Linked DNA regions of Rattus norvegicus. The protein of the gene in region 7 interacts with the protein of the main gene of each other region in a pairwise test. Links are inferred from orthologs where the notes say so. Each region holds a gene or a part of one and is shown on either strand. Other genes may lie near its edges.

What was found.
Region 1: the proteins of Cwf19l2 (region 7) and Calcoco1 interact in binary tests that used the Homo sapiens proteins (3 or more experiments, as listed by UniProt). The two-hybrid records come from large-scale screens. The link is inferred for Rattus norvegicus from reciprocal best matches to the Homo sapiens genes CWF19L2 and CALCOCO1.
Region 2: the proteins of Cwf19l2 (region 7) and Rint1 interact in binary tests that used the Homo sapiens proteins (3 or more experiments, as listed by UniProt). The two-hybrid records come from large-scale screens. The link is inferred for Rattus norvegicus from reciprocal best matches to the Homo sapiens genes CWF19L2 and RINT1.
Region 3: the proteins of Cwf19l2 (region 7) and Sf3b4 interact in binary tests that used the Homo sapiens proteins (3 or more experiments, as listed by UniProt). The two-hybrid records come from large-scale screens. The link is inferred for Rattus norvegicus from reciprocal best matches to the Homo sapiens genes CWF19L2 and SF3B4.
Region 4: the proteins of Cwf19l2 (region 7) and Mtus2 interact in binary tests that used the Homo sapiens proteins (3 or more experiments, as listed by UniProt). The two-hybrid records come from large-scale screens. The link is inferred for Rattus norvegicus from reciprocal best matches to the Homo sapiens genes CWF19L2 and MTUS2.
Region 5: the proteins of Cwf19l2 (region 7) and Cep70 interact in binary tests that used the Homo sapiens proteins (3 or more experiments, as listed by UniProt). The link is inferred for Rattus norvegicus from reciprocal best matches to the Homo sapiens genes CWF19L2 and CEP70.
Region 6: the proteins of Cwf19l2 (region 7) and Mad1l1 interact in binary tests that used the Homo sapiens proteins (3 or more experiments, as listed by UniProt). The two-hybrid records come from large-scale screens. The link is inferred for Rattus norvegicus from reciprocal best matches to the Homo sapiens genes CWF19L2 and MAD1L1.

Annotation. Positions count from the first base shown.
Region 1 is NC_086025.1:135,725,129-135,729,199, reverse strand, and holds the start of Calcoco1 (calcium-binding and coiled-coil domain-containing protein 1), read left to right. Parts: upstream 1-1,271; 5' UTR 1,272-1,335; exon of another isoform or gene 1,336-1,493; intron 1,494-3,701; 5' UTR 3,702-3,725; coding exon 3,726-3,881; intron 3,882-4,071. UniProt on the Homo sapiens protein: Functions as a coactivator for aryl hydrocarbon and nuclear receptors (NR). Recruited to promoters through its contact with the N-terminal basic helix-loop-helix-Per-Arnt-Sim (PAS) domain of transcription factors or coactivators, such as NCOA2.
Region 2 is NC_086022.1:12,227,618-12,231,117, forward strand, and holds part of Rint1 (RAD50-interacting protein 1), read right to left. Parts: intron 571-3,500; coding exon 460-570; intron 374-459; coding exon 148-373; intron 1-147. UniProt on the Homo sapiens protein: Involved in regulation of membrane traffic between the Golgi and the endoplasmic reticulum (ER); the function is proposed to depend on its association in the NRZ complex which is believed to play a role in SNARE assembly at the ER.
Region 3 is NC_086020.1:186,420,191-186,424,466, forward strand, and holds the start of Sf3b4 (splicing factor 3B subunit 4), read left to right. Parts: upstream 1-1,476; 5' UTR 1,477-1,713; coding exon 1,714-1,747; intron 1,748-2,124; coding exon 2,125-2,253; intron 2,254-2,697; coding exon 2,698-3,240; intron 3,241-3,465; coding exon 3,466-3,672; intron 3,673-4,276. Other genes in the region: Mtmr11 (myotubularin-related protein 11), read left to right, coding at 210-356. UniProt on the Homo sapiens protein: Component of the 17S U2 SnRNP complex of the spliceosome, a large ribonucleoprotein complex that removes introns from transcribed pre-mRNAs.
Region 4 is NC_086030.1:11,744,859-11,747,503, reverse strand, and holds part of Mtus2 (microtubule-associated tumor suppressor candidate 2), read left to right. Parts: intron 1-301; coding exon 302-399; intron 400-2,019; coding exon 2,020-2,233; 3' UTR 2,234-2,645. UniProt on the Homo sapiens protein: Binds microtubules. Together with MAPRE1 may target the microtubule depolymerase KIF2C to the plus-end of microtubules. May regulate the dynamics of microtubules at their growing distal tip.
Region 5 is NC_086026.1:108,717,207-108,720,706, forward strand, and holds part of Cep70 (centrosomal protein of 70 kDa), read left to right. Parts: exon of another isoform or gene 1-277; intron 278-386; exon of another isoform or gene 387-1,157; coding exon of another isoform or gene 1,158-1,214; exon of another isoform or gene 1,215-1,501; intron 1,502-2,463; coding exon 2,464-2,548; intron 2,549-2,637; coding exon 2,638-2,726; intron 2,727-3,500.
Region 6 is NC_086030.1:19,441,282-19,444,781, reverse strand, and holds part of Mad1l1 (mitotic spindle assembly checkpoint protein MAD1), read right to left. Parts: intron 2,262-3,500; coding exon of another isoform or gene 2,252-2,261; coding exon 2,102-2,251; intron 232-2,101; coding exon 91-231; intron 1-90. UniProt on the Homo sapiens protein: Component of the spindle-assembly checkpoint that prevents the onset of anaphase until all chromosomes are properly aligned at the metaphase plate.
Region 7 is NC_086024.1:6,099,779-6,103,940, reverse strand, and holds the start of Cwf19l2 (CWF19-like protein 2), read left to right. Parts: upstream 1-1,362; coding exon 1,363-1,455; intron 1,456-4,162.

The DNA.
Region 1 (4,071 bases), on a different chromosome or scaffold from region 7:
GAAAGGGGTGCCAGAGCCTACTGCAGCAGATAATTAGAATGGACGTAGCCAGGAAGAGGACAGCCATCTTTCCAATGTAATTATTTATTTGTGAGACAGGGTCTCCTGTGTAACCTGAGTCCGAATTGAAATCTCCAGGAGCCCCCAGCCTCTGAATTTTCAATTGCTAGAATTACAGGTGTGTGGCACTGTATCTCACTTAATCCATTAATATAGAGACAGGGAAAAGAACTATGAACTCTTCCACGGTTGGAGGCCACCAACAACGATGAGGACCATCCAAGTCCTTAAGTGACTTGGGATGTGGGAACAGTGTGAATCTTTCACCTATTAAAAAAAAAAAAAACAACAACAAAAAAAACCCTATAGCAACAATACAAGTTGTTAATTAATTTAAGCCAGTTAAAAGGCTTGGGCAAATAAACGTCTCTAAGTAGCTTGTTGTGAGCTGTGGCAGGTCCTGCCAAGCTTTCTTTTCAACCACATGCTTCTCATTCCACAGCCAGGCCACCACTTCAAGCAATGTACCCTAATCCTAGCCGCAGAAAACACTCCAGTGGGAGCACTTGCAACAATGTGTGTGTGTGTGTGTGTGTGTGTGTGTGTGTGTGTGTGTGTGTTATCGGATTCCTTGGCATGGAAATCTTCTCAAGCTGGAACCAAACAGTAAGCTCTGAGACTTTTTTTACAAGATCTGTCAACCCTGAAGTCGGAGCAAGCTAAAAATAAGTAACCACTACCACCACTGAGAGTTTCCCAACCCACAACATGGTGACTGTAGCTCATAGCTTGGAACAGGCCTGGCAGAGTTTTACAGTTTCATAGCCCTGACACTAGAGGGTTCCTTAAGCAAGTTTCTTCTTTTGTAAGTAGAGATAACACTACGACCTATCTTGTAAAGGCGAACAAGAAGGCTGTGCTGGAAGCGTTCCGCCCCACCGAAAAGAGCTGTGCAGAACGCGTTAAAGCCATCAACTCTCCCACTAAGCATGCTACGAACCAGCAGCCACCACTAAATCAGCATGCCCTTTCTTGAGGAATCATGGGCCGTGAAGTCCTTTGGAAGCCACACCCTCCTGGACTGCCAAGGAAGTGAGAACTACAACTCCCGGGATGCGACGCTGAGTCCACCACCGCCCCCGCCCTCTTTCCCGCCCCTCTTGCACAGCCTCCTGGGAGGTGTAGTTCTAGAGGCAGAAAATTGAGCGGCGTCGGATTACAGAAAAACCACAGGCCCCAGAAGGTCTGGCGTCACTCTTCCCCTCCCCTCCAGTAGTCGGAGTGCTGTTTTTGTTGTTGGTGAAAGGTGAGGGGAACAGCTGATCCGTCTGTGGGGTAAGAAACTTGGCCTAACTGAGGGTGGGCTTACGCGGGGATGGTCAGCCCTCTGCTCAGCCTGCGAAAGGCTAATCCGAGAGAACTGTAGAAGAGGACGGTAGGAGCGTTTAGGTTTTAATACTTTACGCGCTGAGGAAGCCTCCTTCACGTTTCGGGTTTGTTGGTTTCAAGGGGGCCTTCTGGGGGTAGCCCGCGTTGTCCTCACTTTCTTGTAAAGCTCGATCCGTTTATGGAAGCTTGAAGGGACTGAAATATTTGCTTAATCTTCTCCAGGCAAGTCTTTGCCCTCACAGACCTTCTCTCTCTCACCCAAAACCAAAGATCCGAAGGCCTTTACTACGCTGAATCCCTGAGGGGGAAACTTCCAACTTGTGGAACGCTAAAACACTGAGGGCCCTACAGTGAAGAGGACACACACACTCTCTCTCTCACACACACACACAGAGAACATTTGAACATCAGCATCTGACCACATACACTTTAGGTGCCCAGGTCTTTCAGTTCTGGAGAATGTCTGCAGCTGTTACGGATTTTCTTTGTGGGGAAGGAGAGGTTCGGGGTTCTCAACGTTAGAACTTTGGAGACAGATCTCACTCTACCCTAAGGAGAGTTATATTTGAAGAAAACACGGAGTAGCTGTAATGGGGGATTTTTCAGAGATAGAAATAATACATTGAAATAATAGCTCCAGTCCAGTCTCTTTTCGACGGAGAAATTGTTTCCTATTGCATTGCTGGCCCATCTTTCCATCTCCACGGAGTGTCTAATTTCTTTTAAAGTTCCTCCCCCACTGCCTCAGCCTGGTGTGGGTTTGTGATGTTTGGGGGCGTGCATATGTCGAGTGGTGATGGCTGATTGGACACATCGGCTGCTGCAGCTGACACAGGAAGCAGATGTGTGGGCTAGAGGGAAGAGGGCTGCCTCTCGGCTCTGGATTGAAGTGTATTTTTTTTTTTTTTGAGTTAATATACAGTGAGTTTCATTATGACATCTCAAACATGTACATCATACTTTGTTCTTATTCATCTCTGAGTAGTACTGTTTTGATTATTTTTTTTAATTTCTGTGTGTGGGTGCGCACAAGGTAGGTAGGTGTACAGAAGTCAGAGCACAACTTGGGGAAGTCAGTTTTCTCCTCCCACCATGTGAGTTGGTGGCAGGCACCTTTTATCCCCCCAGATATCCAACCCCCCAGAACTCTTGATTGTTGTTGTTGTTATTATTATTATTATTATTATTATTATTATTATTATCTATTTTCCAATTAATTCTCCCTAGCTAACTCCATTTTATCTCTGTATCTTCTGCCACTAACCCAAGCATAGGGCAGGATTTGGACCCTTAGAATTGAGGCTAAGGGGAGCCAACAAGAATGGAGACAGGTTAATAGGGCTGGCTTAGCACTCAAACAGATCACTAGGTTTCTAGCTCTGCTCCTGGCAAGATGTGGGGGAAAAAATGTTCCTTGTTGAACTCTCTGCCTTTTCTCAACACTGATGCACATTTCCCCTTCTCAGGGCCTCTTACCCTGTTTCCAACCTGTTCCCTGCCTAAGGGTGGGGCTTTCCTGGCTCCAAGCCCCCACATTCCATCTCTCCACACCACCACCTTCCTGCGGAATATTTCACTCCACCCTTGAACTACCACCTCCACAATTTTTGATTTCCTGGAATAGAAGCTGAGGGACAGAACCTGTCTATCCTATTATCCTCTCTCTCCTTCTCTAGTTCTTGGAGGAAAGCCAGAGTGTGCCTCCTTCTGCTTCCCTAGGGTTAACTGGGATAAACAATTCACACATAGGTGCAGCGAGAGCAGAGCAGCCGGGATTAGCTTGTTGGCCCCCAAACCATATCCCCCCTCTGGAGACTCATCATCATCATCACCAGTGATGAGTTATTGTTTTGGAACTCTTACCCGGGTAGAGTAGGTTCAGCAAGCTTAGGCATGTGTAAGGGAGGCCTGCTCAAACTGAGAGGCCCACACTTCCATTGGATTTTGAGTTCTAGAGCCAGAGGGTAGAGGGGATCGCATGGGGAAACTGAGAGAATCTGGGATTCCCAAGGATGTTGAGAGATGAAAGGGAGAGACAGAGATGGGCAGAGACCGAGATACTGGGTCAGTGGGGCAATGAAAAGGATTAGAAATTACACAAGCGAGGGAGGGGCCCGTAAACCAAAGAGGGTACAACCCCGACAGGGTAGGAAGTTGACTCGAAAGGCGACACCTACGCCCCAGGAATTAAAAATTCCCACAACCTTAGGGTCTGGGAACCTGTGTAGTGACAGGGACCATGAGTAGGTGCACTCGGGCCAAGGGAAGGAAGCAGTGGAAAGACTTAAGTCTATCAACCCTTTCTTTCCTAGGGCATCCGGCATCTTGAGGACACGATGGAAGAATCATCACTAAGCCGGGCACCATCCCGGGGTGGAGTCAGCTTCCTGAACGTGGCCCGGACCTACGTCCCCAACACCAAGGTGGAATGTCACTACACTCTGCCTCCGGGCACCACGCCCAGCGCCAGCGACTGGATTGGCATTTTTAAGGTATCCCTAGACCCTCTTCTGGTTCAAACTTACGGGACACAGGTTGGTTAAAATATGAGGAGGGACGAGGTCCTTAGATTCTCAGGTCGATAGGGAGAAAGATGACACGGGGCTGCCGTCCGTATGGTACAGAGTTCACCTCTCTATCTTTGCCCCTCTCTCTCCTGATAGTATACCGCCCTCCAGCCTC
Region 2 (3,500 bases), on a different chromosome or scaffold from region 7:
CACACCCTTGATCCTAGCATTTGAGAGGCAAAGGCAGGTGGATCTCAATGAGTCTGAGGCCAACTTGGGCCAAAACAGAAAGCAAGCAAGCAAACAACAAAACAAACCAAAAGCCTCAAGTCAGCTCAACGGTCACTGAGTGCTTACACTTTCTCTCCACAGTCAGCCATCTCTGGAAACAGGTTTCCTCCGACAGAATGTGCATGCAGCTGGCAAATGTGCTAGGATAGCCATGGACACTGTGCAGCTCCCTTTCAAACAACAGCACCTCGTCTACCAGATGACAGAAGAGACTATCGTCATAGAGCAGGCAAGGGATATCAGACGCCAGCTTCTCAAGGATGAGCATCACGAGGCCGCGAGAAAACTCAAGCTGAAAGAGAGGCAAGGAGGCATGAGGGAGGGACTGTGCCCAGGGGGCCTCCAGGAAGCCGGAGTGCACGGGGCTCAGCCTCTTACCCTTGCGTTCACTGCAGAACCCACTTTATCCAGTATTGGCTGGATCTTCTCATCCAGAAAGTGAGAATGGCTTCCAATCCACAGAAGTACCTGAGCGAAGTACCATTCAGGCTAAGAGGAAGGGAAAATGGGGTTAGTTCTGCATTCACTCTACGATGACGGGAAAGTCTAATTAAATGCACACAGTTATGGACAGACATAAAAATTAACTGAAAACTCCTATATGTAAGAAAGCAATTCTTACCCTGCACTTCAAACTCACAAAAGACTTCATAATCAAATGTTTCCCAGTATACTTCCACAACAAATGCTAATAATGTGGCCTAACTCAGTAAACTCGTAATTTAAAATGCCACATTGGGGTTAGGTGTGGTTTTGAAGTATAACGTTTGCCTGGCTATAAAAAGCCTTGTTTGAATCCCAGCATCACAGAAAAGAGGAAGAGAAGGCTTAAGAACAATACTGAGGAAAAGTCCCTCACACACGCAAGAAGGAGCATCTGGGGGGCTGGGGATTTAGCTCAGTGGTAGAGGCTTGCCTAGGAAGTGAAAGGCCCTGGGTTCGGTCCCCAGCTCCGAAAAAAAGAGCCAAAAAAAAAAAAAAAGAGGAGCATCTGCCCAGCACACGCCCTCATCCCAGAGCAAGATAAAACAAGCCACACCAGCAGGATGGCCCCGGGGTAAAGGCGCCTGCCAGCAAACCTGCCAACCTGAGCTTGATCCCTGGAACCAACGTGGGGGAGGGAGAGCGCTAACTCCCACAGATGTTGCTCTGACCTACACACAAACTTTGTAAAGCCCTCTAAGCCTAGCGTGATGAGGTATTACTAACAACTGATATTTCTGAAATAGCATTCCAAAAAGAAGGTTCTGAGATAGATCTCACGTAGCCCAAGCTAGCCTCAAAAATCTCTATGTTACTGAGGGTGACGGGCTTCAGGTCTTGTCACCTCTACTTTCCCAGTGCCAGGATTTCACACATGACATCAATATGCGCATCACACGTGACGTATGTGGTACTGGGGACCAACATGGGGCTTCACGTGAGCGGGACAAACGCTCTGTTGAGACTGACCTGCTTCCCCAAACACTTTTTTTTTCTTTTCTTTTTTTGTTTGGAGCTGAGGACTGAACCCAGGGCCTTGTGCTTGCTAGGCAAGTGCTCTACACTGAGCTAAATCCCCAACTCCTCCCCACCCCCAACTACTTTTTAAACAAGACTTTCTGCTGCTTCCTCTTTCCAAAAGGTAAAGTAAGGAAAAGAGTCTAGTGGCCTAATTACTAATACATCTACGCTGTAAACTGGGTGTGATGTACAAAGGAAACAGGCAGAGCATTTCAAAGTATTACACTTTTCTCTGTGCATATATGCATGCTAGAATGGATGTGTCTGGGTGGGTGGACAAGTGTCACTGTGGCAATCAGATGACACCTTTGGGAGTTACTTTTCTCTTGTGACCACATGGGTCCTAGGGATCACACTCAAACTTGGAGGTGGTTTCCCCCACTGGGCCATGTCACTCACTCACCCCACATAAAGATTTTACTTTGTCTTTAGAGAGGATTCTGCACACATATAAGTTTTTCTAGACAACAACTTAAAACTCAGTGAACATGAACAGATGAACCGATGAGCTCCAGGTTCAGTAGAGACTTTGTCTCAAAATAAGGGAGAGAGTGACTGAAAAGGGTATCTGGCATTGACCTCTGGGTACACACACACATACACACGTGCATACACACGCACACCAGACACACCACACATACCACACACACACAAACACACCACACTTACATATACACACATAACACACACATATACATACACACCACACACATACAACACACACATATATACACACACATATACACACATACCACATACAACACACATACACAAACACATACCACACACACATATACACACAACACATACACACATACATACCATACACACCACACACACCACACACACAAAACACACACAACATATACACACACATTCACAACACACACAACACACACACATATACAGACACACATACCACACACATGTGCATGTGTGTTTCCTGTTTTTTATAGCTAGGGCTCTAACTAAGGGATAGAGCACTTGCCTTGAACAGGCAAGCCCTGGCTTCAGTCCCTAGCACTGACTGGCAAATCCCCAAGTGTTTTCAGTTGGGGATAAACAAGGGTGGCAGCATCTAATCCCAAGGACTGTCTCAGTGACAGTATACTAAATTCATTAGGATCACTCTTTCAAAATGAGCCAATCCAATCCAGAATTTTCTTACATTTTCTAAATGTTTAGTTTATGCTCTGTCTCATTGACTACTGAGGACTAAATGACTGTGCAGTCCCAACAACAGTCTAAACAAAACAGAAGACCCACTGCCACTAAGTTCACTCATATGACCTGAAAAATATCTGCTGTGGTCTTGCTCTTAATTCAGAACACTTGGTGAGCCCAGCTCCATACACTGCCTCGGCTGCAGCAACCATCAAGAACAAAGTGCTCTCTCAGATCAAGTGTTGGTAACGACTTCCTTTAACTGACTTATTCCGTCACTCCTTGCCATGGTATATGTCCTCCGTAGCTGAGTCACCATGGCACCTGTGCTCTCTCCTGTGGAACTCACTTCTTTCTTTCTGTTTATCTATGTGCAGGAGCGGTCTGTGCAGTGAGGTCCAGGTGGCTGTAAAGCCTGCACACACGAACACAACGTGATGACGTCCCAAAGACGGCACAGATACTGGCAACCTGTCAACCTGAGCCCCAGTCACGCCTACAGAGTGCAGCGAGGAGGCAGGAACCGACAGAGAAGGGAAAACAGAAACGTGAAGACAGACAGGCCTTGAGGCTAATCATGTAAAAGTCCACAGGCAACACTCACTACTAATGAACACTCAGGGTAGGATGGACACTGTGGGACCCCAGCCCTTGGGAGGCAGATGCAGAGGGAGCGGAGTCTGACTCAGCCGGGGCTCTCCTCAGACCCTGTCTCACAAACATAACCACGGAGGAGAGAGTGAAGCACACTC
Region 3 (4,276 bases), on a different chromosome or scaffold from region 7:
CTAGCTCTCAAGAGGCAGGAGCAACTGGGTCTCTGAGTTTGAGACCAGCCTGGTCTACAGAGTTAGTTCTAGGATAGCCAGGGCTACACAGAGAAACCCCAGTCTTGAAAATAAAAACAGACAAACCTGAGAAAAAAAGAAAAAGAAAAAAGAAAAAGGAACTAGACCTGTGACAATCTCTCTTTGCACCTTCCTTTGCCTCTCCCCAGATAGGCTCTTCAGCTCTCACAATCTCTGGCCTTCAAGATGAGCTGTCTCATCTTCAGGAACTATTAAGAAAATGGACACCAAGAATATCTCCGGAGGACCACAGCAAGAAAAGAGATCCAAATACTATCCTTTCTCAGATCTGCTGAAACTGCTAGCCATCTCAAAGGCAGGGCAGAGGGCGGGGGTTTGTTTCTGCTGATGTTTATGTCTGACCTTGGTGCTTCGGGTTTGGTATTCCAGTCTGTAAAGCTCACTTAGTAGGCCAGTTTCTGTAGATGGTGCTACCAACCTCCAGCTCTCCTGTCTCGTTTGGTTCCTGGAGCTATTTTTGTTTCTTGTGATTTGAAAAATAAGAAACAAAACCAATTCAGAATGATTGCCTTTTTTCGAGGCAATTCTGTGCCATTTGGATGGTTGTCAAAAGTATGATATCAGAGACCCTTTTCATCAGCCCCAGCAAGGTGTCCTAGAGACCTCATTCTCAACCCCTCAACACTACATTGAAATCTTTTCTTAGTCTTCTGTGGGAATGAGGTGAATAAGGGAGACACCTCCTCCTCCCACTGTATATTTTTGTAGCAGCATTTCTATTTAAGGAGTTCATTAAAGCACAGTATTTCTACACATTGCTGGTATTTTCTTGTATTGAATGAAGATCTCAGCAAAGCGGTGGTGGTTGTGGGGTAGTGTGAACTGAGAAAAGGACACTTATTATTGTAAGGAAATAAAGGATTGGCAGGGCTGGGCAGAATGCACATGAAATATTGGGAAAGCCCCCCCGCCCCACACACACATACGCACACACACCTTTTTTGAGACAAGGTCTCTCTGTATATCAGGCTAGCCTGGAATTTTTTTTTTTTTTTTTCCGAGACAGATTTTTCTGTGAGGCCATGGCTGTCCTGGATCTCGTTCTGTAGACCTGGCTAGCCTTTAGCTCAGAGATCCACACCTGCCTCTTAAAGCTTCAATACCTGCCTGTGAGCACCCTCGGTCTCAAATTTCCCAAGATTGGAGGAGCTCTGACACTTACGGGAAACCAAAATACCTCGAGCTCAAGCCTAGGCCGAGGGCGAATCTGCACGAGCGTTGTGGACCGAATTAAAAATAGGCTGTTTTCAAAGGCAGTCCTGGCCCTGGATATGGCGGGACTTTGCCTAGCACACGTCTCTGCGTCACAGAACATACAAAGCTTGGTTTAGCATTTCAATTTGCGCTTGGGGTGCAGTGTGATGCCCTAACAGTCTGGAAGCATTCAGGGCTTTAGTTAACTGTATCAAGACCGGCTGATTCACTTCTGTTCCACCCCGATTGCTGCGGCAGCTCCAGAGCACCTTTCCCTTCTGTCCGACACGAATCTGACTCCTAAGATGGCCGCGATCGCTTCCGGCTCCTCCCTTGTCGCCGGCCCCGCCCAATGTGAGCCTTGGCCCGGAAGTGGAAGTAGAAACTGAGGTCAGGGGGGCGGTGCTGCTGCTTAGAGACGGCGGGAGCCCTTTCGCCATGGCTGCCGGACCGATCTCCGAACGGAATCAGGGTAATTGGGAGAAAAGAGACCAAGATAGGGGCAGGGAAGTGAAGAGCTGATTAATGCCAGAAGCATTTCTGCTTGGGTGGGAGACGAGATCCCTCTGATGTGAGACCGACCTCTGGGCGCCTGGCTCGCCTCGAGGCCAAGTGGAGGCCCAGGCCTATGAAGAGTGATGCTTCTAGATCCATTCTCTTTAAATACTCCTCTACCAAGAAGACAAAATTCTCCGGAAATACAGGATCAGCAAGAATGCCAAATTAGACGTAGCGGATTTTTCTAGACTGTGGAAGCTGAGGGAATTTCGGGTCTTTAGTTAACGTTTTTGGTTTTTATTTTACTTTTCACTCTTGACCCTCTCCTTACCTCCTGCTTCTTCCCTTTAGATGCCACGGTGTACGTGGGAGGTCTAGACGAGAAAGTGAGCGAGCCACTGCTATGGGAGCTCTTTCTCCAGGCAGGGCCAGTGGTCAACACCCACATGCCAAAGGATAGAGTCACTGGCCAGCACCAAGGTGAGTACATGTCGAGAATTAACCCTGTATAGCGTTAACGGCCCCTGAAGAGTCACAACTCCAGTCACAACTACTTTGGAATGAGCAACCTAAAGGTTCTTTTCCCCCTTAAGCTTCAGTTCAGTTTTTGGAATAGTTTCTCTTAGCACTAGTTACTGGAACCATTCTCAAGTGAAGTAAGATTATTCTTCTGTCATGTTCTTTTTATTGTTTTATTTTCAAGACAGTGGTTCTCTGTGTAGTCCTTGGCTGTCCTGGAACATGCTCTGTAGACCAGGCTGGCCTCAAACTCAGGGCTCCACCTCTGCTCCAGCATGGTGGCATTAGAAGCATGAGCCCCCACCCAGCCCTTACCTGCTTTGTTCTTTGTGTTTGCAAACTGGTGAGTTAATGTTTGATTTTGAATCTCTTCACCTGAGTGGTCTTTTTTCATTGGTTTCCTAGGCTATGGCTTTGTTGAATTCTTGAGTGAGGAAGATGCTGACTATGCCATTAAGATTATGAACATGATCAAACTCTATGGGAAGCCAATACGGGTGAACAAAGCCTCGGCTCACAACAAAAACCTGGATGTAGGAGCCAACATTTTCATTGGAAATCTGGACCCAGAAATTGATGAGAAGTTGCTTTACGATACTTTTAGCGCCTTTGGAGTCATCTTACAGACCCCCAAGATTATGCGGGACCCTGACACAGGCAACTCCAAGGGTTACGCCTTCATTAATTTTGCTTCATTTGATGCTTCAGATGCAGCAATTGAGGCCATGAATGGGCAGTACCTGTGTAACCGCCCTATCACTGTGTCTTATGCCTTCAAGAAGGACTCTAAGGGTGAACGACATGGCTCAGCAGCTGAACGACTTCTGGCAGCCCAGAACCCGCTGTCTCAGGCTGACCGCCCTCATCAGCTGTTTGCCGATGCACCCCCTCCACCCTCTGCCCCCAATCCTGTGGTTTCATCCCTGGGTTCTGGGCTTCCTCCACCAGGTACAGCTTGTAGTTCAGACTATGCCAGTGAGGCCCATGGGAGGGAGGTCAGGGGGCAGAGGAAGCCCTGGAAGAGTAAGCTGTGAAGTCAGTGGGCAGTGAGGGAGGAGTGAGGATGCTGGTGGGAGGGAAGAAGTTGGTGCATGTCCTTAGGAAGCTGGAGTGTAGCATGCTGGGAAAGACATTCTGTCCGATACCACTAATTGTCCTTCATTTCTTAAACAGGAATGCCACCTCCTGGTTCGTTCCCACCTCCAGTGCCACCTCCTGGGGCCCTTCCTCCTGGGATACCCCCAGCAATGCCCCCACCACCTATGCCACCTGGGGCTGGAGGACATGGTCCCCCAGCAGCAGGAACTCCAGGGGCTGGACATCCTGGTCATGGACATTCACATCCTCATCCATTCCCACCAGGTGGGATGCCCCATCCAGGTAAGTGCGCTGAGCTTGTAGAGGGGCCTTTGTACTGCTTCTCCCAGTGCTCTTTGTCTTGGGTGGAAATAGTCCAGAGTCCTTTTCTTCAGAAAACAAACAATACTTTGTACATGTTGGTGTGCTCCTGTGTTATCTCCACCTATAGCTTGTGCTTGGCAAAAGCTCTCAACCTCTCCTCTGCTTCCAAGGTTGCCAAATCTAGAAGACATTTCTGCTTTTGGTTTTTCGAGACAGGGTTTCTCTGTGTAAACCTTGCTGTTCTGGAACTCCCCCTGTAGACCAGGTTACCCTTAAACTCAGGGATCCTCCTGCCTCTGCCTCCCAAGTGCTGGGATTAAAGGCATATGTATTTTTAGATTTTCTAATGTCAACTTTAGCAACCTGGATCAATTCCTTTTTTATGTATGTGTAGATTTCGTGCTTGGTTCTCTTTTCTGTGTTTATCTGTAGTGTTAAATGTGAAGGTTATGATTTATTCTGGGTCTCTGTTCTGAGGTTCTTGGTAGACTAGAAAAGGCTGCTGCTCAACCCACAGTTTACTTTTCTCTTTCCAACACCATCTTCAATGGCTCTCACTTGTAGGAGCCCAGTCCACAACTCT
Region 4 (2,645 bases), on a different chromosome or scaffold from region 7:
CTCTCTCTCTCTCTCTCTCACACACACAGAGAGAGAGAGAGAGAGAGAGAGAGAGAGAGAGAGAGAGTCTAAACTATGTACCACAGTGCTTTTTACTACCAACAGAGCACACTCTGGCATTTTCTGTTCTGTCTTTCTGAAAAGAGCAGTGCTGGTCCCTCATCCATCTCCCCTGATTTTCCCGCCCACAAAAGCTTTGCACAGAGCGGTTAGCAAAGTCCTGTTCCTGGAAACCCTCCAAAGTGCAGAAGCCAAGGCCACTGATCCAGTGGGAGTTTCTTCACTGGTGTCTCTTTCCTAGGTGGAAAAGAACATCATCCTGGAAGAAAAGATCCAGGTACTCCAGCAGCAGAACGAAGACCTCAAAGCGAGGATCGACCAGAACACGGTTGTTACCAGGTGGGTGAGCCCAGTTTCTCACTACGTCCTTCTCAAAGTGGCTTTCCCGGAACATCCGCATGTCCCAGTATCCAGTCTGAACAATCTCCTGGTGCCTCTCAGTTGATCAGAAGAAAAGCAGATGGCCGTGACCCCATGGTACACATCCCAGCTCTGCATCCCAGCCGGCCCCGTTCCCCAGAAGTGAGTGAGGACCTCAAGCCCAGGAAGCAGGGGCCCCAGAGCAGGAAGATTTCATCCCAGAGATTAGGAGAAGAGCATCAGCTAAAGTCCCCAGCTAAAGAGAACCATGGCTAGGTAACCCCAATATTCCAGAAAATCGGGTCAGCTCTTCCCTATAGGCTCCTGCTTTCAAGGAAGGATTGGGTCACTCTTGACCCCAGCTCAGAGTGCAGTGAAAACGTCTGTGGCGTCTGTGGCTGGCTGCAGGTTATTATACTGGGCAAGGCTAAGTCGCCCGAGTGAGATGGAGGCCTTCGCCTTTTCCCATTCTGTTGGACCAGACTCCTCGGTGTGGCTATGATATGTTATCCTGTGTACACCCATGCTTATGTGCACACACTCATGTATATATCCATTCACGCGTGCTCACACTTACACATACACTGATGCACGTGCATGCTTATACACTGGCATGCCACTTGTTCACACGCCCACACATACCCAGCCACCTTTCCTCAGACAGCAAGTGCAGGCGTCAGCCCAGAGTACCTTTCTGGGACTTTAGCCCATCCAGTTGTAAAATGTATTTGTACTTACTCTGGCCGATTCCTGAAAGCAGCGATCACTCTCTAAAACACAAGTTGAAATAGACAGGTGACTCCGTGGTTAAGAGCACTGGCTGCTCTTCCAGAAGACCCAAGTTTGATTCCCCGCACCTACCTGACAGCACACAGCTATCTGTTAGAGTTAACAGTTCCAGGAGACCCGCGCCCTCTTCTGGCCTCCACAGGCATTGCATGCAATGGTTCTCGGGCATGCACGCAGCCAAAACACACACATAAAGTACAAAAATTACCAAAAACACGCAGCAAAGCCAGCAATTTAAGCACCATGACATCACACACACACACACACACACACACACACACACACACACACACACACACGATTGCTTTCTCTCCCCCACCCCCGACCCCCGTTATCAACCGACGGTGATCAAACATCTATTTTTCTGGATGCCATGCTGAACGCCAGCCAAGAACATAACAGAGTCTTGACCCCTGCCCTCTAGGACTTGTGGTCCAGCAGACAGACATGTAGACAGACCGACTCTACAGCCGAGCTAATGACTTCAATCGCAGAGGCACGTACTCAGGGCTGGAGGTAACGGGAAAATATTCCCGGCTGATTGGCGCTGTTAGTCAGTACCCTGACCACAGCCGTAGACAATCTCCATAGCAACCCCTCCTATGGGCTGTAGCAGCAGCCCACGTGACCTACCATCTCCCCCACTTCCTACTCCAGCCTCTAGCCTTTCTTTGCTCTGTGCACAACTGCCCCCTAACCCAGCAGAGAGACCTGCGAGCCTGGGGAATTGCCCCCGGCCTCCGCCTATCAGCCTCTGTCACTAGTACGCCCAATGGTTCCCGCTGCTAACTACCATTCTCCCCCACGCAGACAACTGTCGGAGGAAAATGCTAATCTCCAGGAATACGTGGAGAAAGAGACCCAGGAAAAGAAGAGACTGAGCCGAACCAACGAGGAACTACTTTGGAAGCTCCAGACTGGGGACCCGACCAGCCCGATTAAACTCTCCCCCACATCTCCGGTGTACAGGGGCTCCTCCTCTGGACCCTCCTCTCCAGCCAGAGTCAGTACCACACCTAGATGACATCACCCTGCCACCCACAGGAGCTCAAGCTTCTGTCCGTCCGAGGGAGTGCTGGCCGGTGCTGGTGGCTGCCCTGTGCGCATGCTCAGTAGCTGCATACTGCATCTTAGGCAGAGTCCTCTCTGACCCTCGTGTGAGACCGTCCTGGTATTGGCGCTTAGGAAGGCGTAAGCAGCAGAGTCTGGTGTCCAAAAGCAAAACACAAAAACAAAAACAAAATGCTTTAGTATAGTTAGAAGCAAAAGAGAAACAGCTCCAATTGTTCCTGAGAGACGGAGTTCCGCAGCGGAACTTTAGGTCAGCCACAAACAGCTCCGTTTTTCGAATACTCGAAAACCCTCCTTGCACCGCTGCGGGTGTGTATTCAGATGCGTGGGTACACACCTGCGGCGACTCCGAATTGCTTTTTTTT
Region 5 (3,500 bases), on a different chromosome or scaffold from region 7:
GATCCCTTGAGACTAGAATTCCAGACATGTACGAGTTCTCATATGGTGCGCTGGGAATCAAACCAGGTACCAAGTAAGAGAAGCAAGTTTCCTTAACCACTGAGCTTTAGGCAATTATTACGGAAGGAGATTGCCAGAGGTAGGAATGTTAGGACAGGAAGAATATGTATTTATAAAGTGAGACATGCTTATAATATATTAATGGAAGATAAATACACATACACACACACACACACACACACACATATATATATATATATCTCCACTCTAAGACTAGGTAGGGGGGCTGGGGATTTAGCTCAGTGGTAGAGCGCTTACCTAGGAAGCACAAGGCCCTGGGTTCGGTCCCCAGCTCCGAAAAAAAGAACCAAAAAAAAAAAGACTAGGTAGAACTAGGTATGAACATATCATTTAGGGATATCTATCTATCTATCTATCTATCTATCTATCTATCTATCTATCTATCTCAGTGTAATACTTGTTCCTGGCAAGAATTATTGAAAAATTTTAAGTTTTCCAGGCAATCTTTGCCAAAGATTTGATTTTTAGTAATGTGTATGTATATTCATGTATGTAGGTTTATGTGCTTGTGAGCAGGTCTCCAGAGTCATTGGAAACCTCCAGGGCTAGAGTTACAGGTGGTTTTGCACTACCCTATGTACGCTGAGAACTATTTTTTAGGCCTGGCGGGATGGCTCAGAGGTTGGGAGTACTTGCTATTCTTGCAGAGAACGTGGGTTCTATTCCCAGCACCCATATGGTGGCTCCCAATTTCCTATAACTCTAGGTTCAGGGGATGGAACGCCTTCTTCTGGCCTCCACGGGCACTTTAACACAAGTTGTACATATACACATAAATAAGTCTTAAAGAAAAAATTAAAATTAATTTTCCATGTATGAGTGCTTTGCCTATATCTATGTGTATGTAGCACGTGTGAGCCTGTACCTGTGAGTCAGAGGGAAGCATTGGATCCCTTAGAACGGGAGTCATGGATGATGTGAGCCACTATGTAGTTAGAAACCAAACCTGTACCCTCTCCTAACTGCTAAGACATCTCTCTGTTCCCAGTCTGTATTTTTATCTTTGTAATTTGAAATTATCTAGAAAGTACAGTAAATGCTACCTTTTGAAAATAATTGAACATATTTTCTTCTAGATTGCTTTGTCTAATTGATTACTATGAATGTAAACTTAGAAAACATCATATACAAAGGTATAAATATAATTTTTTATTTTTTTTATATTTATTTTTATTATTATAAATTGTTTCTGTAGCTTTTGAGACTTTATGGTATGGAAGTCTTTATATCATTATAAAGTTCTTTTCCAAATATAATTATTTTTTATTCTATGAGAATTCGATATCTGTATACAGTGTATTTCAAAAATATTTACCATCTGTTTCTCCCCCTCCCCCCAAATTCTGGATTCCTCACCACATCTTCCTCATAGCTTCATGTTGAAATTCTTTTTAATAAAAGTCTGCAAGATAGTATTTTACTGTTTAGGTTAAAATGTACTGTATCTACATGAAACAACAGAAGTGTATTTCCTCTTATATTGTATTAGCATCGTGGTATATCCACTGGATAAAAGTACATTCATGAAGTATATGCACATACAGTACATTGACTGTGGGGCAGAGCAGAACATAGTTATATACATTTAAATACTAAAGATAGAATGTCAGTGAAAATCCAGGCATGTAGCTGGGCGTGGAAGTTCATCTGTAATCTGAGCTCTCTGTAGGCTGAGATAGCCAAGGACTGAGGATAGCCACAAGTTTGAAGCCAGCCTAAGCTACATAGTGAATCACCAGCTGGCTTGAGACTTGCCGCGATAGTCCCGTGGGAAGATTACATTAATGCCTATGTAAGTAAACTTAAGGCATAGTGGTATATACTGTCATTGTGAGGCAGAGGGATGGTGTATGGGGGCAAAGGGAGAGTGGTGAGCGGTAAGGAAGCAGGAGGCTCTGCACACAGATGGCAGTTCTCAAAGACGGATGGGATGAAGGATTTTTCAGTTAGGTGAATATACCAGCAGGAAAATGAACACATTTAGGCATGTTCGGTAACCGCAGAGGTTTGGGACACAGGGTAAGTGCGGTGTGCTGTGTACTGTGTATTGGTATCCACTTACACTCTACAGGGTGTTTTTAAAAAGACCAGGGAATGTTCCATTTGTATTTTGCTTGTTCATTCAAGTATTTTTCATGCCCCCCTTGTGTCCCATGACAAAGTTTTTGGTTCTCACACATTCTAAGTGAAGAGTAGTAAACAGACTACTCTAAGACTAGGTAGTTGCTGCGATGTGGTACTATTCTCTGTACAACAAGTAGGAATTTGGGATTCCCATGTTTAAGTTACTCAGCCCTTACTAAATTGGCTTCAGTTTTGCTAGCTGCAAGTTCTCTTTAAGGATAGAGTTCCACAAGATGCACTGTGTTTGTCTTCCCACAGGCAGTGTGGGGAGGATGACAGCCAGTCAGAAGGAAAAGACTATCTAAACCTGGGCGTCTCACCAACCTATAAAGGCCTTCTGACGGTATGGAGACCAGCAACTGACAAATACCTTTTCATAAAGCAAAATAATCCCTAGGAGAGTTACTTATTTTACTGTGAAATACATTGCAGTCGTTACAGAAGCAACTTGAGAAATCCAATTCCAAGATCGACGTGCTGTTGGGTGAAAAGCTGAACCTCCAAAAAGATCTGGAAAACAGGTGAGGAAAACAATAAGAATGTTAGACCAATCATTCCTTCCCCCTTACTCTAAAACTGCACCTGAGTGAGTACCTGACCCTCCTGTGCTCCTGTTGACCAGTAGTATTTCATGGTGAATGGTGAACGGAATAAGAATCCTTCGGCAAGCAAGGGAAATGCGAAAATCGGAATCCATGTTGAGGATAAAATTGGCTAAGAACTTTGAGGAGATTCAGGGTTCCGTTTTCTGTTTGTGTTTATATGTGGGTGTAAGTGTGTGTGCAGTTGAGTGTGCACATTTGTGCTCCTGTGTGTGGAAACTAGAGGTCAGCATCAAGGGGCACTGCTGAGTTGTCTACCTTGTTTTATGAGACAGGATCGCTCCGTGAGAACTGCTGGCTGCTGGGAGTTTGCTAATTAGTCTAGGCTGCCCTGCCAATGAGCCCTAGGGATCTCCTGTCTTTGCCACCACCCTCCCAGTGCTGGGATTGTAAGTGTGCACTCTCGTGCGTCTTAGTGGACTCTTGGGTTTGAACTCAGGTCTTCATGTTTGCATGCCAAGCACTTTACCAGACGTAGCTGTCTCTCTAAGCCCAGGTTCAGTCTTTGTTTAGTTTTTCTTTTAAATTAGCTATAGTGAGGGCTGGAAAACTGCTGTGCAAGCATGTGAGAACTTGAGTTCAGATACAGAACTCTTGTGAAAAGGCAAATTGTAGCAGTGTGTATCTGTAACTGCAGCATTGGGTGAAGGTGTAAAGACTGGCAGATTCCTGGAGCTCATTGGCTGGCCAGTC
Region 6 (3,500 bases), on a different chromosome or scaffold from region 7:
AATGCCTCTGACCACAGCAGCTGGGCCCCAGTTTGGTGTCTGACAAGTGCTGCACACAGCCCTTGGCCTTCTGGGGCTGGCTGGACCCACCTCATAGTTCCTGGCATTGGTGCTGGCCGCTCTCTCCAGCTCCACCCGAGCCCTCTTGTGGCTCAGCTCCATCTGCATCTTCTCCCGCTCCACCTGGATGAGGTAGGACTTTGAACGGATCTGCTCTGCTCTCTCCTCCAGCTGAGCAGTTGGTACCCAAAGAGAAAAGAGAGGGTTCAGTTCCCATGTCAAATAAGGCAAATAAGAACCCACAAAGAGGATCACAGTTCCAGACCAGCCTAGGACAGAGTAAGTTCAAGGCCAACCTGAACAATTTAATGAAATCTGTATCAAAATAAAAAGTAAGGCTGGTCCTGGAGATGCACTAGAGGGATGGAGGGTCTGCCGCATGTAGCCAAGGTCCCAGGGATGGAGGCCGGCCTCCTGTGTGGAAGGAGGGAGAGAAGGAGGGATGGATTTTTGGTTTTTCAAGAGCAAGTATTTTTTAAAAACAAAGTACCCATCTTCTTATTTCACTAGTACTCAGACACAATTACCATCTATTGATAGTTCACTTCAGAAAATAGTGGCTTCAAGCCAAGGATGTAGGAGCTGGAGAGGTGATTCAATAGTAAAGGCACTCACTGTTATTAGAGAAGACCCAAAAATGACAGAAATTCACACATGCATGCAGGAGCACTAACTCACATAAAGTAAAAGAAATTTAAAAAATGTTTTCAAATAAAATAAAGGCAAAGATGCACCTCAATGGTAGATGATTGTGTAGTGTGTGCAAAACCCGGGTTCAATACCCAGTGCTACCAAGAAGGACTGGGAGGAAGACGGATGATTTAACCACAAAGGACAGTTATAAAAGACTCACAGGATGAAAGACAACGCTTGCCACCAAAACAAGCTGAGGGCAGGCGGTGCTGGGACGAACAGTCAGCAAACCAATGTTGCAAGCACTGTCCAGTCTGCTGGGCGGTGCATGAGCATCCCCAGGACTCCAGAACAAATGCTCCCAACTCATCACAGAACAGCTGCAGCCAGAGCGGAAGGGGGACAGGAAAGAGGTGAGCAAAGAAGCCTGGGAGCAGCCTGGTGTGGTCATTGTGTGCTGAGGACCAGGCAAGGCAGGAACATCACTCTCCTAGGGCCCAGAAGCCTTAACCCAACTGGAGCTATGGCTGCCACTTCTGGAGCCTGAAGCCCTTCATTCAGGAGCCCTGGCCCCTTTGGAACTGTATCCCTAGGAGCATTCCTGGGAATTAGAACAGAGTGAACTAGGACTACAAATCACAGTAAACTTCTGCCTGGCCTCTATGGGTATGGTGGCACCCACCTTTTATGTCAACACTCAGGAAACAGAGGCAGGCAGATCTTGGTAAGTTTGAGGCCAGCCAGGTCTACAGAGTGAGTTCCAGGACAGCAGGGCTACATATCTCAATAGGTAGGTAGGTAGGTAGGTAGGTAGGCAGGTAGGCAGGCAGGCAGGCAGGCAGGCAGGCAGGCAGGCAGGCAGGCAGGCAGGCAGGCAGGCAGGCAGGCAGACAGACAGACAGACAGACAGAGACAGAGGGATGGATGGATGGATAGATAGATAGATAGATAGATAGATAGATAGATAGATACAGAGGGATAGATAGATAGATAGATAGATAGATAGATAGATACAGAGGGACGGATGGATGGATGGATGGATGGATAGATAGATAGATAGATAGATAGATAGATAGATAGATAGATAGATAGATAGATAGATACAGAGGGACGGATGGATGGATGGATGGATGGATAGATAGATAGATAGATAGATAGATAGATAGATAGATAGATAGATAAACTGAATAAATGAATCACACTGTTGGTATAGTCCATGTCTCCCAAGTGTGAGAACCTGAGTTCTGTTTCCACAGAGACAACTAAGGCAGCCTCTAACCAGCATGGTCAAGATAGGCCCTGGTCTCCAGCTACTGCTCAGGTTGATAAATGCCTACAAGTGTCTGCAGGTCACTCATCTAGCCTCCAAGCTGATTTGGCCCACCCAGAGACCCAGAGGGCTGCTCACCTGCATGTTCTGTTCATACTGCTTCTGTAGGGACCCTGAGGCAGATGTGGACACATCCAAGCCTGATGCTCCCTCCATTCGCTGAGAAATGAAGTTGTTGAGAGATCTCAGGGTGGACAGGACTGTGGTGTTCTCCCCAAGGTCTTCCATGGTCACCCTCCTAGGAGACAAAGCAAAGGTCAGAGACAGTCTTCCCATGTGCTGTCTGTCTGCTGGCACAGTCTGTTCCCCTAAGACCCTTATGGAGTAAACTAGCATGTTTTCAACATTAACATGAAGCCAACACTGCCAACATTGTAGAGAGGAAATGAGGCGCAAAGCATGCCACACCATATACCTATGATATCAGTAGGTAGAGGCAGGAGGATCAGAAGTTCAAGGCCAGCCTCAAATTTATGAGTGTGAGGCTAGCTTGAGCAACTTGACATCCTGCTTGAAAAGAAGGGAGGGGCATAACACAGACCTCAATCCCAGCACTCAGAGGCAGGAGGAGCTCTGAGCATTCAAGGCCAGCCTGGTCTACACCGTACACAGAAAGCTCCAGGACAGCCAGGGCTGCACACAGAGACCCCATCTCCAACAGTGGTGAGGAGTTAAAGGGGGGCGTGATGCTTAGAATGTTTACCACTCTCTCAGTTCCCAGTATCCACACCAGGCTAATAACTGCCTGCCATTCCTGTTCCAGGGCATCCAGTGCCCTCTTCTGGCCTCTGTAAGCACTGAACTCATACACAGACATGCACGCAATCAGAAATAAAAACAAATTTAAAAGCAGGGGGTAAACTTGATGAAGCCTGATGACTGAGCTTCTCCCATGGAGCACACAGTGGTGCTGCCCTTCACTCACACCATGTGCCTACAACAGAAAGGCTTGGGGTGGAGGGGCGGTTCAGCGGTTAACAGCACTGACTGCTCTTCCAGAGGTCCTAAGTTCAAATCCCAGCAACCATGGTGGCTCACAACCGTCTGTAATGGGATCTGATGCCCTCTTCTGGTGTGTCTGAAGATAGCGACAGTGTAGCCATATAAATAAATCTTTTTTTTTAAAAAAAGGCTTAAGTTTGAATCTCAGAAACCTGGACATGGTGGCAAGTGTCTCTAATGGCAGCACTTCTACTGCAAACTGCGAGATGAAGGCAAAAGAATCTTCTAGAGCTCACAGGCCACAGAGCCTTGCACACACTGCACTGAGCAAGAAATTGTGTCTCCAACAAAATGGAAGACAAGAATCAACAGTTTTCCTGACTTGCATGGTACAGAGACAGATACACAGACACAGACAGACACACAGACACACATGGGGGGGGAGGGGGACGACAGAGACAGAGAAACAGAAAGACAGAGACAGAGACAGAGAGAAAAAGAGAAAGAGATTGAAAATGTTCATACCACTAATCCA
Region 7 (4,162 bases):
TTTTGAAAACTAGCAGAATGGCTAACAATATTTCATGGCAAGCCCTTTTGAGTGCCTTTGGTTATTGAGTGGGCAGGTACAGCAGCCCTTCCTATCAACTCTGAATTGGCTTGTTACTCTTGCTTCAGATGCACAAATTGGAGTGCTGCCTCCCAAACATAATGAATCAAATAAAGGAGTAGCACTTTTTGGGGGGACGGAAAGGGTCTGTAACCACTGAAGTTTGTCATTTTTAATTCTGCTGAGTTGGCAAGGGCAAAAGAAGAGAGAAATGGCTTATTTAATTTTTTTCTGTTACTATCCTAGTGGATCAAACAAATGAAGCACAGATTAGGACTAATATTTTGATATAGAGACTTAATTATGTAAGATTCAATTAATACAACAGAGGTCATTCTCACAACAGATATTCTCACAACCAAGGCATCTTTCCTTTGAGTGATGAGGACTCTTCCTTCACCAGGCTTGTGCTACACCAAGTCTCAACCTCCAAATAATATATGTGTAACACACACACACACATACACACACACACACACACACACACACACACAGACAAATTATATAATATATGTTATATTTACACTGATGGAGCATATATATTATAATATAATATTATATAATATTATACATATAATATTATATATATATATATATATATATATATATATAATTTCTCCCTGTACATAAATGCATCATGTAGTTGCAGTGCCCGTGAAGGCCAGAAGAGAGAGATGGATTTCCTGGAAATGGAGCTAGAGATGCTTTTGATGATCCCAGTGAGTTCCGGCCTTAGGTCCTTTGGAAGGACAGTTAGCACCCTAAGTCACTGAATAATCTCTCAAGTCACCCATCAATGAAAACTACTGAATCTTAAGGGCAATTTTTTTTTTTTCTTTTCCCCGTGTTCTAACTTTCTGATCAGGCTCACTTCAGCCTGGCTCTCCAAAACAGTAAAGTCAGACAAGAATGGGGAGGTTTAGGTATAACTTCTAGTTTACTGGGGTGTTTTTAAGAGTCCTAGTGAGAAATGAGTTAGTATAGCGCAGGGTGCATAATAATGCATGTTGATATTAATTCAGGGCTTAGCGAATCCAGTACATCTGAAAGGTCAACTCTCCAACTGGCTATCAAGTTTCAGCTACAGGAGAAACATTCAGATCTGCGCCTGCTCTGTTGGCATAGTAGCGCACCTTTCACTACTATTTTGAAATCCGTGTTTGTTTTCCAAATTACGACAGTCGTAAACGGTTTCTAAATTACGACAGTCGTAAAATCCGGTTTTTTTTTTTTTTCTCCTAAATACGACAGTCGTAAACCCAGTTTTCCTGACAGCTTCCTTGCTTTACATCAGCAATAACTATGGCGGCGTTCGGTTTAAGATTTGAAAGTGCTAGCAGTATTGAAGAAAGAAAAGAACAGACCCGTATTGCCAGGGCCGAGGTGTTACGCCAGGTACCCCTGCTTTGGAGAATTTTCTCTTTCTTTTTGAAACTGGGGGTTGTAAGGAGGGCATCTGAATGCTAGGTAGGCGCTTTCCCAGAATATATTAGTTCTTGAAATGCTTTCGTTTTTTAAATCTTAGGGTCTTGGAATGTTATTTAAAGTTGTAGTACTTGAGAATCCTGGAAGTTATTTCCCCACTCCTCTCGTCACTTCGATATTTCACCTGGTCTGATTTTGGTCTCTCTTTCCCAATGCAGTTGTCTCCTAAATGCTCTAACCGCCTACATTTATTGTTTCTCTCTGCAGAGAGATTGATATTAGTTCCCTTAGCTGTTAAGCCACTTATTCTTGACATTTCTGCCGTCTGGATTGCTCAGTTTCTGTGTCCGATGTCACATCTGAGGACTCTTACCAATTAAGTCGAAGTGTGAGTCATTGCTCCGGCTTATTGGAAGTAGGAAATATTTGAATACATTGGTGATTCCCCAAAACATTTCCTTTCAACTCTTAGGCTTAGGCCAGCTTTTACTGATTGAAACGCTGTTTAGCATAAGAGACTGAATATGTGCCCCCCCCCCAAGTTTGGGAACAATTCTCATTAACATTGAAATGTATGGAATTTATAAAAACGGAAGAAGCAAATTATTGAATTATCTGACCTGATTGTTACAATGAAAAAGAATTTGTAGTTGAACAGCAGAATGTTCCTTGACTATGTTTTTTTTTTATGATAAAAGAATTTTAAATACGTTTAAATGCATATAAAGAGTAGAAAATAGGAAGAATGAGTAATGGCTTCAATCACATTTTAAGGGTATAGGTGAGCAGTTAGTCTTGGTCAGATCAAACATAGTGATTATTGGCTGATTTCAAAATAGTTATAATGAATGCTCATCATGACTGATACTTCAAGCAGTTTTTGGAGGAAACTCTTTGTAAGCTGAGAAGAATTTTATACAAATCTACATGTAGTTTGATAAAGGCCAAAGTCAGCTTTGGAATTTGAGAGATGGATGAGAAAGCAAAAGAAACTTCTTGCACTGTATTACTGTTGCTGACTGCTGACTAGAATTTAGCTATATATTTTTTTCTTTTTAAGAGGATAATGTTTTTCTTAGTTGTATTGGGGTACACATATCGTCTATTTTGAAGGCATGGAAAAAAGTCAGCTTTAGAACTTTTGCGAAAGTCTGAAGAACTAGCCTCAGGGACTATGAAGGTTAAAGTGACTCCAAGTTGTATTTGAGGCAGGGAGAAAGGACATAGGCTAGTCTTAGACTGGATAATGTATGTGATTTGTACCCGAATTTACTGAAGATTGATAGTCTCAAAGAAAAGCTATTGATAGCTTTTTAAAAAACATTTTGTTTACACTTCAAATGTTATCTCCCTTCTCAGTCTCCCTTCCATGAACCCTTCCACCCCTTCCCCTCCTATTTGCCTCTAAGAGTTTTTCCCACCCATTCACCCCTGCCTCACCCCTCTAGCATCCCCCTTCTTTGGGGCATCAGACCTTTACAGGACCAAGCGACTCCCCTCCCACTGATGCTATATCAGGCAGTCCTCTGCTACATATGTAGTGGGAGCCGTGGACTGGCCAATGTATACTCTTTAGTTGGTGGTTTAATCCATGGGAGCTCTGAGGGGTCTGGTTAATTGATACTGTTGTACTTCCTGTAATTCCTTTCAGCTCCTTAACCCCTAACTCTTCCACTGGGACCCCAGGGCTCACTCCAGTGGTTAGCTGTGAGTATCTGCATCTGTCGTAGTCAGGTGCTGGCAGAGCCTTTCAGAGGAGAGCCATACCAGGTTCCTGTCTTCAAGACATCTTTGGCATCACATCAGCAATAGTGTCATAGGGTTTGATGTCTGCGATGGGGAGATCTCTGGATGACCTTTCCTTTAGCCTCTTTTTTTGTCCCTTCATTTTCTTCAGATAGGGACAATTCTGGGTTAAAAATTGTTAGATTGGGGGTGGGGGTGGTGGCACCATCCCTCCAATGGGGGCCATGTTTATCTACTGAAGGTGGTCTCTTCAAGTTCTATCTCCCTGCTGTTGGGTATTTTGGCTAATGTCATCCCCATTGGGTGCTGGGAACCTCCCGAATTCCTGGTGTCAGGGACTTTCCAGGGGTTCTCCAAGCACCTCCACTGCTGCTTCTTTCTATTTCTTCTCCTAGACCTGTGGACTTCTCTCCTGTCTCTTCCCATACCTGATCCTGCCTCTGTCCCTTCCTTCTTTCCTCCCCCTCCCTTTCCCACCCAGGACCCTCCTTCCCTCTGCTTCCTATAGTTTGTTCCCCTTTCTAAGTGAGTTTGACACGTCCACACTATGGCCTTCCTTCTTGTTAAGCTGCTTATGATCTGTGAGTTGTATCGTGGGTATTCTGAGTTTTTGGGGTAGTATCCACTTATCAGTGGGTACATACCATGTATGTCCTTTTGGTTCTGTGTTCTTCACGCGGGATGATATTTTCTAGTTCCATCATTTTACTTAAGAATTTCATGAAGTCATTGTATTTAATTGCTGAGTATTCCATTGTGTAAGGTACCCAATTTTCTGTATCCATCCTCTGTTGAGGGACATCTTGGTTGTTTTCAGTTTCTAGCTATTATAAATATGGCTGCTATGAACATAGTAGAACATGTGTCCATGTTGGAGCATCTTTTGGATATATTCCCAGGAGTGGTATAGCTGGGTCTTTAGGTAGAGCTA